3 linked regions of the Rhinolophus ferrumequinum genome follow. The protein of the gene in region 2 interacts with the protein of the main gene of each other region in a pairwise test. Links are inferred from orthologs where the notes say so. Each region holds a gene or a part of one and is shown on either strand. Other genes may lie near its edges.

The links. The genes of interacting proteins can lie anywhere in the genome.
Region 1: the proteins of ATPAF2 (region 2) and SORBS2 interact in binary tests that used the Homo sapiens proteins (3 or more experiments, as listed by UniProt). The two-hybrid records come from large-scale screens. The link is inferred for Rhinolophus ferrumequinum from reciprocal best matches to the Homo sapiens genes ATPAF2 and SORBS2.
Region 3: the proteins of ATPAF2 (region 2) and PKP4 interact in binary tests that used the Homo sapiens proteins (3 or more experiments, as listed by UniProt). The two-hybrid records come from large-scale screens. The link is inferred for Rhinolophus ferrumequinum from reciprocal best matches to the Homo sapiens genes ATPAF2 and PKP4.

The regions. Positions count from the first base shown.
Region 1 is NC_046287.1:76,148,848-76,152,595, forward strand, and holds the start of SORBS2 (sorbin and SH3 domain-containing protein 2), read left to right. Parts: upstream 1-1,388; 5' UTR 1,389-1,505; intron 1,506-3,748. UniProt on the Homo sapiens protein: Adapter protein that plays a role in the assembling of signaling complexes, being a link between ABL kinases and actin cytoskeleton. Can form complex with ABL1 and CBL, thus promoting ubiquitination and degradation of ABL1.
Region 2 is NC_046304.1:790,218-793,965, reverse strand, and holds the start of ATPAF2 (ATP synthase mitochondrial F1 complex assembly factor 2), read right to left. Parts: upstream 2,676-3,748; 5' UTR 2,486-2,675; coding exon 2,353-2,485; intron 1-2,352. UniProt on the Homo sapiens protein: Plays a role in the assembly of the F1 component of the mitochondrial ATP synthase (ATPase).
Region 3 is NC_046291.1:63,590,332-63,594,079, forward strand, and holds the start of PKP4 (plakophilin-4), read right to left. Parts: upstream 2,573-3,748; 5' UTR 2,312-2,572; intron 1,619-2,311; exon of another isoform or gene 1,200-1,618; intron 1-1,199. UniProt on the Homo sapiens protein: Plays a role as a regulator of Rho activity during cytokinesis. May play a role in junctional plaques.

The sequences.
Region 1 (3,748 bases), on a different chromosome or scaffold from region 2:
TTCCTATACATCTAGTGTATACCTGTCTCCTAGGAGTTGTGCAGGAGAGAAGACCCATTTTCCATTAACTCCCATATTTTCATTTTGGTACCTTTATTTGTAACCATGCTAGTCCAGGGACACTCTGTTTTAGTCTCCCCAGAGAATAAAGCTCCAGTGTTCTGCCAAGATGAAGGATGGACAGTTAGACCCCTGCTGTTTTTAGCCCCACCCTAACTCTACTTCCAAAGATCCATTACATCATCACCAGTTCCAGAGCTTATTTGGGCTGGCACATTGTGATTTCTGTCACTCCTTGACTTTCCCCATTGCTAGCTTAGGATCCAACTTTCCCTGGTCATGTAACCTATTCACTGCTCTCTAGTTTTCTAAATTTGGTTGCAATTTTCCCGTTTCTTTGTCCTTGTGGTTTTATTGTTTTTAAAAGAAAAACTTTATTGTCATTTTAGTGAGGCTTTATGAGGGAGAAATGGTTAAATGTACGCAGTCAGTTCACCATCTTTAATTTGAAGCCTCTCATTTTAAAAATAATATACTAATGGGTATTTTTTAATACCCTGTACTAAATTCTTGACTAAAGTAAAGTAGGAAATTGAATCTAATAGATAGATAGGAGATGGTAAAGCTATAGCTTTAATTCTTTTCTTATTTTGCCTGCTTTCATAGAATAAAAGATTTGATATTTCTACCTATTTTGTTCTAGAGACGTTAACAAAGGCTTTACTATTTTTCTATCAGTGATCTTTATGCTTTCATTATTATAGCCATATAAAATCAACCATAAATATTGTAAGAGCATTTTGTGTAAGAGATTTATAACACTTTCTTACAATGGTTTCGGTAGCCTTATTCAACTGTATCTCCTGGCATTTTCAATAACCCTCTTAATATATTCTGTCATCCCCATCTGTTTTGATTTAATGTTGATTACACAGACATGCCGTGCTGCGAGAAGCCACCTGATCACTTCAGCAGTATGTTATGCGTGCATTAGACTCAAGGTATTTTCAGAAATGAAACATAAAACTGCTATTGTTAAATTATATCCATTTTATTAGGTTTCTCCTGGGTAAATTATGTAGCCCTTCAGAAAATAAAACATCAGACATATTCAGAGACAATCACATCACTGGGTTTTAAAACCAGTTCAATTTAACCTGCCACTAATTCCCTAACCGGCAATTCTCTGAGTGCATCCCTAGGGAAAATATATTGAACACAGTTGAAGGTTAAGGCAGAGGAGTCACAGTGAGACTAGGAGGCAGCCAATCAGATGGCGAGGGTCTAAAGATCTGATGCCTCCAGGCAAACACCAAGCTGAGCTGCTTAGTCTCCTTTCATTGCCGACGAACACCACATACATGTCGTAAACGCTCCCTGTGTGGGCAGCAGCCACCAAGCAGACCCTGTAGCTAAGAAGAGAGGGATACATGCCCCAGCAACTCAGTCTGCACCACAGCCGACAAGACAGCGATATCCCTGTGCTGGAATGTTCTCATGCAAAGGTATGGGTTCTTTTTCATTGAGTTGCTATATTTCTTAAGGATTACGGAAAGCAGAGATGCTGGTGCTGGAGGAAGATCTCTCTGCTTTCTAGTAATGCTTTGTTCCTGTTCTCAGTGTAAATGCCAGCCTTTGAAGATGGGTAACCTCTGGGGGAGACGGTAATTAGCAGAATAAAGGAACACTTTACGTTGCTTAAGCTGACTGTGTACAGACCTTTATTAGAACAGACTCTTTGTTATTGTTGCTATTGTTCTGAAGGTAAACTGGCTAAAAATGCAGCTTTAAATCATCACATTCTGCTACGTCTATAACTAAAGAGACCCAGGGAAAGAACTAGGGGGGCGGGAGGGGGCAGGGAAAGTAGGGGGGCTACATGTCTTGAAGGTTGCTGCAATTTATCTAGCTGTCTACCAGCCTCAGAGAGAAAAAGGACCACACTGCTGATCTAAAGTAGAGAAAGAGAATTTTGTCACTGAGGGTTCCTCTATGCTTTTGACACAAGTTTTATAAAGAACACTTTGCATATTCTCATCGGCTTAATAATTAAGATGCCTTAATTATCATTTATTACTGACAGCTGGTGTAATCATCTAACAGTCATCCGCATATTAGCAGCTCTTGTTTTAGTGGTCCAGGTAATAGGAAGGATAATTTAATATGTTACAGAGTAACAAAAGACCCATGAGAAACATATTGCATTAGGTGAGGCAGGAGATTGCTTTGTGGAGCATTTATGTTTTGGAGTGAGTCCCTTCTTTTGTCTCTCGTCTGCATCAATTATCTGTTAGAAAGAATGGATAAAACAGGGACTTCCATCATGTACCATGTGTTTAGAGTAACACAATTATTTCTTCTGTACATTAGGCAATAGTTAATTTATGTCTAAGACATTAAATAGTTAGCCATATGGAAAGGTTTCACTGGTAAGTTGTTCATTATTCTCCACGGGACATTGGAAATCACACATCAGTGGATTATCAATGGTGGCCTGAATGAAGTTGAGATAAACTGTTGTCCCAGGGAGCAGAAATGAATACAAGGTATACTTGGCTTCATTTTCCAGTTATCTCTCAAAAGCATGGCTCATTAACATTTTAATCTTCATAGTTAATTATCAGGGCGAGCGTTTTCATATCACATCTCTGAAAGCTCTCCTAAGTAATGCAGATTCTTTGTGTAGTTATTTTTTTAAAGAGGGGAAATATTTAGGCAATGGTTATAGTTTCTAAATTGCCAGGACACTGGTATTTTTCATTCTTGTTTTTATTCATTTATTTATTATTTATGGTCTGTGATGTTAAATACACTTTGCCCCTGTAACATCGTCAGTTATGCTATTATGATACACTTTGTGACTTTCAGTTTCTCTAAATATTTACAAGGTACATGATTTTATTTACAAATGTCACATAAGTAAAACTAATATGTATAAATAATATTTAAAAATCACTATTTAAACTTGAAAATTCACTATATTTAGTTATATATAACATATAATTAACGATAATAAAATATTGTAAAAATTAAAATTCTAAATTTTAAGATTTAAAAACTCAATTCAAATAAAAATAAGAATATTTTTTCATATATGTTAAATTTTTTGATTTATTTATTTCTATATTTAAAAGCTATTGCTTTGGAGAGGGTGAAATTAACTAATTAATGGGATGGCCATAGGGAGTTTATTAGTAACTTTGATGAATGGGAATGAGAATATAGGAATTAGTAGTATTTTGCAGAAAAGAATACAGAAGGATAATATCTTGTGTACTTGAGCTATGAGAAGTGTTCAGACACCTGAGATGATACAAAATTTATTTCTATGAAAGGAAGAATAAAAAGAACAGTCAAGATGTAATCTTAGACAATAGGGTTAGAGTCAACAAAGCCTTTTAAGACATCAGAAGATGGCTTAAAGGGAATGAATGAAAGCAAAAGGAGGGGCATTGCACTCTGAAGCAGCGTCGGGAGAAAATAATGGACCTAGACTGGCCTTTGGCACCAGACAGACCTGGATGAAATGCCAGCGCTGCCACCTACTCCCTGTGTACCCTGGGTAAATTAGCCCCACCCGGCTGGTTTGTGAGAGTGAGAAGGAGTCCACATAATTATAAGTAGTTCACGTAAATATGAGAAGGGTGTAATTTAAAAGATATGATATCAAAGTCGATTGTGACCCTGTTAGGACTGAGTGGAGACGTGATAACTCCTAATACTTAGGAGAGGGGATTGACTACAGCAG
Region 2 (3,748 bases):
CCTTCAGACTCCAATAGAAAGTCCTGATTGTCACCTGTGCTTCTGACCAACCCAACCAGCTATGAATAGGAGGTTCCCATGATGCCTCCTCAGATTTGATTAATTTGGTAGAGCAGCTCACAGAACTCAGGGAAACATTTCACTTCCTAGATTACCAATTTACTATAAAACGATACAAGTCAGGAACCGCCAGATGGACGAGATGCACAAGGGAAGGTATGTGGGAAGGGGCCAGGAGCTTCCACGCCCTTTCTGGACACGCCACTCTCTCAGCATCTCTACCTGTTCACCAAGCCAGAAGCTCTCTGAAACTGTCAGAACCCGTAGTTCAGGGATTTTAGGGAAGCTTCCTTAGGTAGGCATACAAGCCATTAGTGATGCAGTCACTGGCATGCAGGGCCTCTGGTCCCGCTCCCCGCACCAGAACGCAGGACATGCTGAGGCCAAAAAGGAACACCCACGGAGCCATAGATAGGGGAGTCATACCACTATCGTCTCGCTGGCGGCTGGGTTGGAGACACAGGGTGGGAGACACAGGAGCCGCAATCTGCTGTCTGCTTCCCTGCCAACCAACGTAGCTACGGCATTTATATTAGTGGCTACGGCTAACCGGTAACAGCTGATGGCCACCCAGTCACAGCGGATGGCCACCTGATTACAGCTGATGGCCATCTAATAACAGAGCCAGCACCTGTCCATGTGAGGCCAAGGGCCTGGAAACTGCTCTCTGGGACTCGGTCCCCACAGTCACTCTTTAGCCCCTCTCCCCTCCACGGACGTCAGGGGGTAGGGCTGAAAGTTCAACCCTCCAAATCACCGGGTTGGTTCCCCTGGCAACCAGTCCCCATCCTTAGAGGTTTTCCAAAAGTCACCTAACTGACACAAACTCAGGTGTGGTTGAAAGAGACTTGTTATGAATAACAAAAGACACTCCTTTCATCTTTATCACTCTGGAGTTATGTGAGGACAAAAGACCAAATATTTTAACAAAAGATTCTCCCACAGCTCTTCTGGCTTTTAGGAGATGTGTGCCAGGAAGAGCATAAAGGCGAAATACATATATTTCTTATCATAAATCCCACTTGTCAGATGCCCCTCCTTCTTTACTGGCTCTTCATGGCCCACCTCCAGGCCCTTCACCTGGCCCTGATGGGTGAAACCTCAGATCCCTGTTGCATCTACCCTCTTCCACATTCGTATAAAATGATAGAACTTAACAGAAGAAACCTCGGAGGCAACCTAGTCCCTCAACTCACACAGGAAAATGAGGCCGGAGCTCACACAGGACTTCAGCGGTTCAGCCAGTATCAGACCCCAGATTTGTACTCCTGCCATGATGCCCAACTGCCTGTGGCGTTCTAGGTTTTCTAAAGGAGGCAGTGCTACAGCAGCAACACCCCTCACACCCCACTGTCCCCTCTGGATGTGTTCTAGCTGCCCAACTCTCTTCCTCCTCTACTCATCTATCAACTCTCAGCTTAAATGTCCTTTCAAAAAGTCAAGGTCTTTCTAGACCATGAACAGCCCCAAGATGGGAGTAGGTGCTTCTTTGTACTTCACAGCTCCTTTGTGCTTCCCTGATCAAGGCATTGCAAGCTACTGTTTAACCAGGATATAACCTTCTGCACTTGACAATGACCATCATTCAGGTGGGACCACATCTGTGTCGTGAGGACCACCATGCCTCCTGTCCTCAGCACAGAAAAACTGAATGGAAAGAGAGTTACTACTCTTCACTCATTTCGGTCACTGCCACTCTTACCCTAAAACCTCTCCCCAGAAGCAATGAAGGAGTCACTACCTTCTGCTACGCCTCATCAGAGTCAGGAGTAGAAGGATGCACGCGTATAGCGATCAAATGCTTAGCAGAGTGGCAGTGGCAGGGAGGCGGCGATGCAAGACCGAATGCCTGGGTTCTACACCCCTACTGTGCGGGCTCCCAGGACACACTAAGCAGTCAGACAGGCCAACGCTGGTCCTCCCCTAACTTCTGAGTCTGCTCTGTGACCTTGGAGTAGTGCTGATCCAGAACCCGAATTTCCGTCTAAAAACGAGGATGACATCTGCTTTCCTTATTAAAGAGAAGAAAGCCATAAACTTTGAGAAAGGCTATGCGTGCCAAATGTCAATTACTGTCCCGAGCCGTGACGCGATGTGTGCGATCTGTGCCCTCGGGGTGTCCCTGCCCTGGTCTGGAGTTCTTTTTCCTAATCTGTAACCCCATTGGCCTGTGTAACCCGATGAGCCTGAGCCCTGCCTCGGTTACCCCACCTGGCGTGGCCGAACCCCTCGGCCCACCTTAGCCCGGCTCGGCCCCTGGCCAAAGGGCGTATATGCCCTGGCCTACCTCACCTGCCGGGGGAGCGTAGTCCCGGGATGGGGACAGAGTGTTTGGCCCCGGCCCCACGGAGGTCGTGGGGCCACCTGGGGACCAGTTCAGGAGACGGCGCCCCCAATTCCGCAGGCGGGGGCAGCTCCTCCACATCGCGCCCGAGGGCCTGGGAGGGCAACGGATGGGAAACCTGAGAGCAGGAAACGGAGCGAACGGATTTCCCAAACAGCACGCTCCGGCTGTACGGAAACCTCTCACCGCCTCTCTAGAGCCCTCAGACTCCCCTGGACGCCGCCATCTTCCGCATGACACCGACGGCGTGCCGTCACTCGCGCGCCTCCTGCGCACACCCTCAGTCAATCAGCATCACAAATGCACTTCGCCCCGCCCCCTTCACGCCGCGCTGCGGGAAGAAGACTACAAGTCCCAGAGGGCGCCTCGCGCACCCCGCCACGTGTTTTTCTCCTCTCGCCAATGGGTGGAAGCGCCGCGTGAGCCTGCTCCCTCCCCGCTGGCGAGCCCGGGCCAATCGGAAGGGGTGGTGTGTGTGTGTGTGTGCGTGTGTGTGTGTGCGCGCGTGTGTGAGTGTGTGTGTGCGCGCGCGCGTGTGTGTGTATGTTTGTGTGTGTGGGTGCGCTAGGGCAAGTGAGGAAGGGGACTCAGCTCAGGACGGGGAGGCGCTCCTCGCAGGTCCCGGGGTCCAGGTGGCGGCCGGAGCACTTGGTCCGCAGGCAGCGGGCGGGTGGTCCACCCTCCCGCCCCAACCACGCGCGTGCGCGCCCCGGCCCCTCCCTCCCTGCCACCCTCCTCGGCTCCCGCGCGGCGGCGGCGGTTCCTCTCCCCCTCCCCCAGCCCTGGCTCCGGGGGACCCCGCGATGCCGGTCCGCACTGAGTGTCCCCCGCCGGCCGGTGCCTCGGCCGCCTCCGCGGCCTCTCTCATCCCGCCGCCGCCCATCAACACCCAGCAGCCCGGCGTGGCCACCAGCCTGCTCTACAGCGGCTCCAAGTTCCGCGGCCACCAGAAGAGCAAGGGGAACTCGTACGACGTAGAGGTGGTGCTGCAGGTGAGCGCCGGGCCGGGCCGGGGCCGGAGGGCCTCCTCGCGGCGCTCACGGGCCGTGCCTGCCCCTCGGCTCCTCGAGCCCACGGCCGCGGACCAGGCCCTCGCCGCCGGGCCTCCTGCACCCGGCGCTTCACCCCCGGGACCTGCCTAGCTGGTGTCTTACACTCTCTGAGCCCCATTCCTGACCTGCCCCCTCACACCTGGTTTCTGTCACGAGCAGCTCCTGGCAGTACCTGAACACTCTGCCAGACTTGACGCCCATGACCAGCCCGCCTGGAATCCGGAAGCCCCCTGTGATCGGTCACCCTCAAACCTGGGTCCGGCGCATGACCTGTCACCCCAAGATCAGCCCT
Region 3 (3,748 bases), on a different chromosome or scaffold from region 2:
AAACACACAACCTTTCCCAGTGCAGTTTTTTTTCCTTTTCTATTTCTCCTTTCCATTAGGTCCTTAACTAAAAGGTGCTCATCTTATACTTTTGAATGCCCTTGATCCACCCAAAGTGAGTGCTGGAAGACAGCTAGACAACCAATTTATATTCCTGAATCTGATACAAAATAACCAAGTTTGGAGAGGCTTATAGTAAACTCAACCTCCAAAGCAAACTGTGTCAAATAAAAGCACACATTGTATGCTTTTCAACATCAGAAACACTTGTTTTAAACACCGGTTGTTCTCATTTCAGGTTGCCATTTTCCATAACTGTTACACAGGCATCAAAAAGATACTTCTATAGCAACATATTGCATTGAAAAAGAGAAGCAGTCTTCTACCTTCCCTTTTAAAATAAAAGAATCTAAGATCAATTCTAGAAAATTATCTTCTGTCAAAAATTTGCTTTTCTTCATTAAGGAAAATAAAATTTGACCAAAAATGTATACTGATCATTATTGATTTTACACAATAATAATTACCATTCTTTAAAAGTTGTAGGGCTGTGTTAATTTTTTTTCAAACTCAGAAAAAAAAAAACAAAAAGCTGCGACCTCCACTAATAAATTACATCTTTAAATATACATGATTGTGTTGTCCCCGTGTTACTTTCAATGGTAACTGACACGCCCCGAATTTAACTGTACCAGACAGTTCTATCTGTCCCATCGCTGACCAAACACTGCTTCTCTGTTTCTACTCATTATATATTATAAGAGGTCTAAACACAGCCCAGTATGACAAGAAAAATTCCAATTCTTATGACAGCAAAGCGATGCATTCAAGATCTCTTTTGCAGTACATCGCAGTCCATGAGCATTAACAGACATTTTTTGATAGAGCTAAAAAACGTTGGCTGCAAGCTCATTACTCTAAGAACCTTCTGCACCCTTTCCTGCAGGTTTTCATAAAACCCCCGGAAAAACCAGGCACAATTAAAACCTTGCAAACCAAACTTGCCAAGAACCGTGTGCAGTGATCAATAACCTTAGCTACACTGCCACTGGCCCCAAATTCACGGTCCTGGAGACCAATGCAGCAAAAACCCAAACGAAAGGCTAGATGAAGCCCAACAGAACTGCCGCGCTTCCCCTCCGCCGCCCTCTCTGCCGCATGAAGAGGCAAGGGGAGGAGAGGAGTGAAGCGAGCCTCACCAGCTCCAAAGATGCTCCGGTGACCTCTGACTGCGCGGCCGGAGCTGGGCCAGGAAGGCTCTAGTGCAGCCGCGGCGGGCCCTCTGGACTATGCCCCTGGTGCATTCCTCGCATTCCTGCACAATCTGTCGCCAGCCGACGAGCCCGCGGCGTGCGTCCCCCCCGGACACAGACACCTGCCTATTGCTGCTCCCCAAGCGGCCACGGCCGCCGCGGCGCTTCCAGTGCCCGCGCTCGCTGTTTGTCGCACTCAGCCAACATGCAGCCAAACCCCGGCCCCGCGGCTCACCCCCTCGCTTCCCCGGTAGGGGGTAAAAAGGAGAGGGCCGGGCAGCCCCAGCGCCGGGCAGGGACACCCGATCCGCCAGGGAGGTGCCGCAGCTCCACTTCAACTACTGGCAGGGAAAGGAGGAAGCGGCGGCGCAGGAGGATAGCCAGGGAAGCTCGGAGCTGGGGAACCGGGAGGGGTGGAGCGTGAGCAAACGCCGCGAGCAAAGAAGGGCGCACTGGACAGAGCCGGGTGGGCAGGACCCGCTGGAGTGCGGGGCTCCGGGGGCAAACGCGAGACCGCGCGGCAGCAGGGGCGTGGGAGGGAGGGGAGAGAGCCAGGATGCAAGATCTGGGGCGGGAGGGATGGACAGACGGCTCCGAAAGCTGGGGAAGGCGGGCGCCTCGGGGTGTTGGGGGCGCGGGGCGGCGTGCCAGGCGGGCAGGAGCTGGGGAACCTCCCGGCAGACGTCCAGGAGGGCTCGGCGTGGCGCTCCAGTTCAGGGCTGGGCGCTCTGGATGAGAAAAGGCCAAGGTGGGGAGGGGTCACGCGCGGTATGTAGGGGAGACCCGAGGAGAGGAATCACCGGGAAAAGCAAATGGAGGGTGAAACTTGTGCGCCTGCCGGGGGGAGGGGAGCAGGCAGGCGAGTGCGGGCAGGAACACGAGGCGGGGCAGGAAAGCCAAGGCGGCCGCGAGGCGGTGGGGACGGAGTAACGGGAGGGAGGCGCCCGTCCCCCCACCGTGCCCCTCGCAGGCAGGTCCCGGCTGGGGCGCGAGGGGCCGAGGGCCGGGGGTCTCGTGGGCAGGAGTCTCCGCGCTCTCCAGAGAGCCCGCACACTTACTTTCCAGGTCAGGCAGCGGCCGTCGTCGCTCCGGGGATCAGGGACAGCAATGCCGAGGGGTCGCCCCTACGGCACCCGAAAAATTAAAAAAGTGCCGTGGCGGAGCGGCTGCCCGCCCCTCCCTCCCCCACCCGCCCCCTCCCCCGAAGCGGCTCTCCCACCACCCCCGGCGGCGGCGGTGGCCAACTTGCCCCTCTACCCGGTGCCCATGGTGCCGCCTCTGCGGCCGGCAACGACACAGACTCAGCCCCGGAGCCCCCTCTGCTGCCCAGAGGCCGCCGCCGCCCGCCCAGCCGCTAGCCCGCCTGCCCAGCCAGCCCTGGGCTCCCGGGAACGTCAGCACGCCGCCGTCCCCAGACCGGCTCCCCGCCAACCCCATTGGTCGGAAGGAAAAGGCTGGCCCTCCCTATTGGCCCGGCCCTCATATTGAACGGGCCAATGGGAACTGCGGTTTCAGGTTGCCATAGAGACCGATGCTGTTAAGAGCGTGAGGGCCTGGAGAAGGTGGAGAGTGAGAGGGAAGGTGTCGGTGGCTTTGGGCGCCGGAGGGGGGTGGGGGAAAGAAGTACAGGGGGATTCCCGGGAGCTGGCTTTAACATTTGGCGTAGCTTTTGCTTTGCCTTTCTGTCAGCTCCAGCAGTGAAAGGTAGGGTTTGTTCCTGGCGTCAAAGGCAGGAACAGCTGAGCCCCAATCCTTGAAGGTGAGAGCCTTGGAGGTCGTTCTCTTTTCCCGCGTCTGGGGAGCCCCTGAGGCTATGCCCATTGACCCTAGAGATATGAGTGCAGCTTCTGCTTCTCCAGGTGAGTTTGCTCCCCACCCCTTAAATCGCTGCTTCCTCCTGACGTCACTGAAACTCCTGAATTCTACTTGTTCTTCCCAACCACTCCTTGCCTAGGGCGGATCTTGCCTCTAATTTTTGGGTCTTCAAACTTACAGCCCTACATAAAGGAGATTCAAAAAGGATTTCCTTTGGATGATAGTTCGATAAGGAAACTGACATATTGTATGTCATAAGCTCAACACAGAAGATAATGTGTTCCCTGCTTCCCGAAGCAATCCTCTAATCTCTGTGTTGAAGGATATTTATTAAACACCTATCTGTGTGTGCTTTCTGCACTATGAGCTGACAGATGTTTGCTCTTTCCCTTAAGAGGTTACAGGGTGGGGAAGACAGGTGACAGAGTCAATCCGTGTTTCTAATGATTTCACAAGAGAGTGAAGGAAATAGATTACAGTTGATGGATTTTGTTTTCAGGGTATTTTCCAGATGATGTCTAAATTTGATGGAAGAAAACAACAACAACACTGAGCCATGGAATCGGTACACACAAAAATCTTGATCTTTTAACAAATCTCATCTTTTATTTAAAGTTACGTTGTGCTTGTTTGTCAATACCAACTGTTTTTGGTAAATAATTTTCATATTTAGATACTGG